Linked DNA regions of Bombyx mori. The protein of the gene in region 1 purifies or fractionates together with the protein of each later gene. This does not show direct contact. Links are inferred from orthologs where the notes say so. Each region holds a gene or a part of one and is shown in the gene's direction. Other genes may lie near its edges. The genes, in order: RpL7Ae and nucleolar protein 56.

What was found.
Region 2: the proteins of RpL7Ae (region 1) and nucleolar protein 56 fractionate together in Homo sapiens (co-fractionation; 3 studies listed by BioGRID, with this or other methods). This does not show direct contact. The link is inferred for Bombyx mori from reciprocal best matches to the Homo sapiens genes SNU13 and NOP56.

What each region holds. Positions count from the first base shown.
Region 1 is NC_085117.1:6,325,416-6,328,416, forward strand, and holds RpL7Ae (ribosomal protein L7Ae), read left to right. Parts: upstream 1-1,328; 5' UTR 1,329-1,533; coding exon 1,534-1,536; intron 1,537-1,756; coding exon 1,757-2,146; 3' UTR 2,147-2,202; downstream 2,203-3,001.
Region 2 is NC_085132.1:2,385,128-2,389,594, reverse strand, and holds the start of nucleolar protein 56, read left to right. Parts: upstream 1-1,647; 5' UTR 1,648-2,014; coding exon 2,015-2,017; intron 2,018-2,088; coding exon 2,089-2,293; intron 2,294-2,620; exon of another isoform or gene 2,621-3,976; intron 3,977-4,065; exon of another isoform or gene 4,066-4,407; intron 4,408-4,467. Other genes in the region: uncharacterized LOC101737518, read right to left, coding at 1-433. UniProt on the Homo sapiens protein: Involved in the early to middle stages of 60S ribosomal subunit biogenesis. Required for the biogenesis of box C/D snoRNAs such U3, U8 and U14 snoRNAs. Part of the small subunit (SSU) processome, first precursor of the small eukaryotic ribosomal subunit.

The sequences.
Region 1 (3,001 bases):
TTATAGCTATAGAATTATAACACGAACAAGTTTGGTCAATTACTCTTGTTATTTCAAAAATCAGATACATTAAAGTGCTGTTTTTAGTGAATCTCTTGTGATGGATGACTTGTTCAAAATCTTCTGGAAAAAATGGATGATTAGACACCAACTCTCTACTGGTGATAGACTTTTATTTCGTGTTTAAAGTTGGCATTAAAATTGTGATTTCTATTTATTGTATTTGATCTATTCGCTGGTAGCTTCTATGGCTTCGGTGCCCACCTAAAGACAGGTGAGTTCTGAGTCATTTTAGTCATCTCTTCAGTGTCCACTTCAGTTTTGGTGATAACGCGTATTGTGAACCCAAAGAGTATCAGCTTATCAACACTACTGGTAGTAGAGCCTCTTGTGAGTCCGCACGGGTAGGTACAATCACCCTGCCTATTTTTGCTGTGAAGCAGTAATGCGTTTCGGTTTGAAGGGTGGGGCAGCCGTTGTAACTATTCTGAGACCTTAGAACTTATATCTCAAGGTGGGAGGCGCATTTACGTTGTCGATGTCTATGGGCTCCGGTAACCATTTAATACCAGGTGGGCTGTGAGCTCGTCCACCTATATAAGCCTTAAAAAAAAACCCAGTCAAACCCTTAGCAGTAAAAAGTTCGTTAAATACGAACAAACTTTGGCGGGAACGCGAGGAGTGTAGTTGTGTGAGTTGTTTTATTTTGTTAATTTAGTGTTTCTTTAGGTTTCATTGTGTATTAACAGTACTTTATTAGCAGTTTAATATCTGTAAAAGTAGACAACATGTGAGAAAATTAAATAAAGCCGTTGGACGTAGCTTCTCGTGATCTTCCAGAAAGTTCCCTGAAATAGTCTCAGTAAATAACCACTATTTTACTAGGACTAAATTTCATCCGATATAATCTCGTTTCGTTTAATTACTTCCCAATTGATTAATGTCAAATTAATCAACTTCATTTTATTTCGCTCCATATTATTGTTCTTTAAACTAATTTCATTTAAATACAGCATTTACAAAAGATTAGTCTGTAGGATGTGATACCTTCGCCTTTTTAGTGGGAGAAACAGAACTAAGTACTACATTACTGTACCTATACGAAAAGTCATAAAATTGAAATTTGAAAAAAAACTCGTAATTGAACTATTTAGTAAGTCGTTATAAATATTTTGTTTTTTTTTTCAAACGTTGGGTAAATTATTCTGCACCATACATTTAATTTTACATAAAAAATGACTACCCTATACTATTAAAATGTAAAGCTGTATAATTCATGTTGCCTCTGATTATTAAAATGAAAAAAAATATAACCAAAAAAACAAATGTCAAAGAAGCCACAACCCGCGTGTCTTTGAAACAACAGTATCAGAATCGTTAATAATATTTATACACAAAATATTTGTGATTTAAGTGTAGAATTGTGGCAAATACCTAAATTTTCTCTCCCTTACGTGAAGATTATTTCCTCAGTGAAGCGAGAGATCGCCGAGAGGTTGAGTTTTATTAATTCAACACCGCGGCATTGTAAACATGGTAAGTTGCACGTGTTAGCGATCTTCTTGGTATTAATTTACCTATAATAAGTCAGTTTTTTCATTAATCAGTTTCAAATTGAAACTTTCAATCATGTGATATCCAAAATACGGTTGCAATTTGAACTCATGTGAATATTTGAGGTTATCTTGAGATTGATTACATTCTAACTACCTAGAACATCTAAACTGTTCATAACTTTAATAATCTACTTTCACAGGCTGAAACCGAAGCTGCAGTGAACCCCAAGGCATACCCATTGGCGGATGCCGCCTTAACCGCTAAAATCCTGAACTTGGTGCAACAAGCTACCAATTACAAGCAACTTCGTAAAGGCGCGAACGAGGCCACAAAGACCCTTAATCGTGGTCTATCTGAGCTCATCATAATGGCAGCAGATGCCGAACCTCTCGAAATTGTTCTTCACATTCCAATTCTGTGCGAAGATAAGAATGTGCCATATGTGTTTGTTAGGTCTAAGCAAGCACTCGGTCGTGCTTGCGGTGTTTCCAGACCCATCATATCTTGCTCGATAACCATCAATGAGGGCTCACAACTAAAGCCTCAGATCCAAACTATTCAGCAAGAAATCGAAAGACTATTAGTTTAAGTATAAATAGACGTGTAAGGAAATTATTTTGTGTCGAATACAATATTTTAATAAAATAACGTATTTTATTTATTGATGCTTTTAGGAACAAAAAGGACCAGGATCTTTTGCTATTTAAACATAAAAAGTAGAACTTTACAATTATGAACTTTTACAATTGTGGCATCCTCCCTGATAATCTTTTCATCAACAAGTGCTTGTGTCTATTCAAACAGTACAGTGAAATGGTTTTTCAGTTCGATTTGAAGTATAGGACAGCTGAATTACAATGTTATCTACTGAGAATTTCACGTGATATAGGTGATGACAATCACTATGTGGTGTAAATACACTGTTAACTGAACAAATAAGGCACAAGTCGTCTAAAAAGAAGCTACATTTGTTTATAAAAAAATGGAGGTCTGCTTTGTTTCCGCTATATAAGTACAAATATTCTTTAGCAGTAGCAATTTTTTTGTTCACATGCCTTTGTCAATAAGCAAAGATATAGATTTTTCCGCTTTCTATTGAAGTTAAATTCTTAATCGCAAATCGCATAAAGCCTTAAATAAAACCAACAATGAATCCATGATATTTATTTAACCCGCAGATGCTAGGCGCGAGCTCCGTCTACAACTGCTCTACGAGATCTAAACACTGAATATATTATGTATTTTTATATTTCGCAAAAACAAATTTACTGAAAATGTCTTAAACTTAACCTAAAATAATTTCAAACAATCCTAATCAACATTAATTAAATTCGTCACATCACATCATTACATACACGTTGTAAACTACAGGAAAAAAAAGTAAGTTAACAATTACAAAAACGAAAAACAAAAAAGTGATACTTCATTGCAGTATAATTGAACA
Region 2 (4,467 bases), on another chromosome or scaffold:
TAATCTCATAATACAGCTTCTTTTGTCGATCTTTCATTCTGGTCGATAAGACCTTTTGTACGGCGAGTTGGGACAGTTGGAAGATCAGCATTGTGACTTTGTAACATCCAGGGTTCACCAAGTATGAGGACATTACAGGAGTAAGAAGACCCTTGGTGCTGTAGTCGGAGATGAAGTTCGCCAGCTCGTTCCTGTACAATCTCTCCGTTTTTGTATCATACAAAGGCCAGGGTAGCGCCGCGGAAGCTTGAACGTCAATAATCGACACCAAATAGTGAGAAACATGATTGAAGACGTTCTGTGTCGGCTTTTCCAAAGCGTTATCGCGAAAAATCTGCTTCAGTAACTCTCCAGACATCGGATGTAACTTGCTTAATAAACCAATATTGAGACTGGTTTCTTTTTTCAGTGCGAACACTAGATCTCTTTGCATTGCAATCGTTGTCATAATTACAAAATTTTGTTATAACACCAATTACATAATTTGAATTTTTACTCTTGATTATTGAACGGGTTTTTTATTCCTTAACATTGTTATAAGTTAAGACTGTTTTACATTTATTTTTAGAAATTAAATACGATTAACCTTAGTTTGTACACAAATTTCAAATTGAAATGTCAAAAATTTCCGTTGAATGTTGTTGCCTCAATTTTTTTAATGACTGGGATAAATGACAACCGAGTATCCTTCCATAAGTTGTGAAAAAAATTTTTTTTTAACAATATACTGAGTTGTACAAAACACGGCGATTAAAGCAAATGATGAACTGGAGTACATGTTTTCTTAATTGTTTTATCCTACAACATATTTTTTTCTGAACCTCCCAGCTCTGAACATAGAGGCGACCATAGAGGATGTTGCTAATGCTCTTGCATCTTTTCAGAGTGGTTCTGCTGGCGGGCTTGATAGCCTAACTCCACAGCACCTTAAAGATCTAACTAGTGGCAGCTGTGGCGCCGTCGGCCAGTCGCTTTTAAAAGGCTTAAAAGATTTAATTAATTTTATGCTTTCGGGTAAAGTCAATGATAAAATCATAGACATTCCTACGACTAGGTATTTTGAATTTACAAATATTAAATCATAATTGTAGATGATGTAATTGTAGGATAATTAGTAATAAAATACAATAAAAGACTTGCATTGCCCGAGTTTATGTATGCAAATACGATTCGAAAAAAATAGCTGTCATAATTTCATCCACTATCAGTTTTAAAACGAACAAAAACGCTTTTTTTGTTGTGGTTGTTTGATGGATAAATCTACTCAAGGCTTTCTTGGTATAATAAGTGATAAAGTGAATAAATTGTCCTTAATCTATAAATATAACAAAATGAATGCCGACATCCATTTGGGTCATGAAGTTGAAGTTGAAGTATTTTTTGAAACTGAAACCCACGGCTGCTTCGTAGCCGAAATGGGCAGAATGATAATAACTAGAGATTGTTACTGTAATTGTTGGATTGTAGCTAAGGGATTACAATGTGCCATACTATTAATAAATAAACATAGTTAACAATTAAGAATATACTTTTGAGACCATGGTGAAAAATGTTATAATGTTTTCATAACGAGTATTATATTATATATAGTACGACTTGAAAATTTTAACGTATAACATTTTTTTAACTCTCTTTTCCAAAGCAAGCGAGGCTAAAACAAACTGTGTAGCTCAAAATTAGCCCTACTTATTTATTATATTCTACTTAATACTATAGTCAGAAATAAAAACGCTTAGCTTTTTAAATACAAATGTGAAATACCTCGGCTTCCATTTAAATAATAGCTTGTCGGCCATAGTATTTGCTAAATTGGAAAAGATTTTAGTGTAAGTATTTTAAATCTATGTTCCCTTGGTCTATGCAACCCAAACAATAAAAAAAACATTCCAGCCACACACAAGCATCAAAGCTGTAACTTAACCTCAAAATAATTATAATAGGGGAGCAAACGTAACGCACGTGTTTGTTTTTCCCCTAAATAATATGATAATGATTATGATATAAAACTACTAAAATGGTGCGTATTAAAACGATGTGTTATGACTTTGTTACGCTATTGTGAGTTATTTAAACCAATTTACATTGCAGAGTAAGTTCTATGTGTTATTCGAACACAGCGCGGGCTTTGCGTTGTTCCGCGTTGCTGAATTTGAAGAGTTAGCGGCTTTCCTGCCTCAGGTCGAAGAGTCCGTGACAGATTTGCAACGTTTTAATGCTGTTGTGACTTTAATAGCTTTCCAACCACACAAGTCGGCGATCGTTGCTTTGGAAAATATCAACGCGGTATCTGAAGGTTAGTTTTCGACTTCTCCTTGTCTTGTACTTTTAGTACTAATTTGGAATTTCGAAATATTTGATGTTTCGTCAATGTGTTGTTAAACTCCGAAGAGTCGTTAATGTGTCTGCAAGCTATCGACCTTGATTTAAGCTTACAAAGCCTCCACTACTATAAGTTAAAATTCTAGGGTCAGCAGACTAAAGCACATAAGTCAAAAAACTCTACTTTACAGGAATTAAAAAAAACTATTTAGAATCTTATACATTAACAAACTTAATAATGTTTATTTGAATTATATAAGTTTATAACACTAACTTATTATTAAAATTAAATATTTTAAAGTAAATGTGATTATTTAATAATTAGATGACTTAAGTTATAAGGAACACAATAATAGTATGAGTTAAGTGAAAAAGATCAACAATTAAGATATATATTATAATAATATAAGTCATAAATATAAATAACAACTCAATGTTTAATTAAAATTCTTCTTCTTATTCTATTATTCTTCTTCTTCTAAATATCTGGATCAGTATTTCGTAAAGTTTCCAACGTGGGAAGACTTATGTAAAATTCATGGAAAATATCTAGTATTAAAGGGAGCAGCGAAATTAAATCATTTTTTTTCTCGATGAATATGGGTAATGGCTGTATAGATATTATATCATCAGTTTGAGATCCCCCAATGGATGATCTCCTTTTCATAGCAAATGTCTTTATAAAATTGTCACTTTCATCTAACGGTTTCATTAAACATCCTCGGCAGACAGGTTCACCTTTACCATGCACAGTAAAAAAGTATTTTTATGTCTTCATTCTAAGCTTTTGCTTTTCAGTTTCAATAGCTCGTATTCTTTGTTTAGATTTATCTTGAATTTCCATTAAAGACGCCAAGTATGCAGATGTTTTTGCATATGACCCCATTTGCCAATATTCTGTAAATATGGCACGCCTATCAGTTAATGGTATACGTTCTTTACATTTCATTCTGCAAACAGGTAACTCTTTCAAATTCAAAATCATTTATTTCAACTTAGATGTCAGTATAACACACTTATTGAATGTCAAAATATAAATAACAATGTTATCTCTACCACCGGTTCCAAAAAAAGCCACAGTCCTGAGAAGAACCGGCGAAACAAACTCAGCGGGCTTTTTTTTTTGTTTTTTCTCAAAAATAAATTTTTAATTCATAGTGCGATCTGATATACATTTTCCTTTTAAAGTTTTGTATGCCTGTCCTAAGTTACGTTTTATTCTTTTTTCTTTTTTTATAGTACGTATACTCTTTTTTGGAGACACATTAGGATTCATTGAAATTTCATCACAAGTACTTGAACTTGATGTGATTGGAAGTCTCGGTAATTCATAACATGGATATCGTACAGAATCATCACTAGAGAAGTCAAGTACAGAATAGTATGTTAAGCTACTGACTTGACCTGATGATGTCGACGGTATAGGATCGTCTACTACTAGGTTCTACTAGAACTCTGTGTTCAAAATCGACTGTTGATTTACATTTTCTAAAAAAGGACAAGACAATTAATTATCTATTTATAATGATATAATATTGATATAATTACGTAATTTGCAAATCATAATTTTGAAGATATGTGAAAATATACCTTCATTGCTTTCCAGATGAGTGGATGATGCCATTTCAACTAATTTCTTGCCTCTTTGAATATTCATCTTAAATAATTAAAATACTTAAGCACTCACACAAAACTAACCAACAAACTGTGCACAATCGACAACATTAGTAAATTAAAACCACTTACCGAAGTATTGTTTACGTTATAAATATTTTTAAGTAACCACTTTCTCTAAAGAAATGTTACATTTTGATGTTCTTTATAACATAAGTCAGACTTCTTACGTTAATAACTTTGTACTTATGGTGTTCCTTAGAACATAAGTCCAGTTATGTTTTTTAGTTCGTTTGACTATATTAGGATTTGATAAGGTTGATACAGAACGCCGCTTGAATACGCCATGAAATACTTGAGTTTGATTTATGTGCTTTAGTCAGATTGTGTGTTGAGCAAAATGTAAACCGATGATGTAATAAAAAATAAATTGAAAATTTTGACTTATGTGCTTTAGTCTGCCGACCCTAGAATTATCATACGGATTCATTAAGGTTTCTCGGGAGTAAATATTAATTTTAGATTCTTGAAATG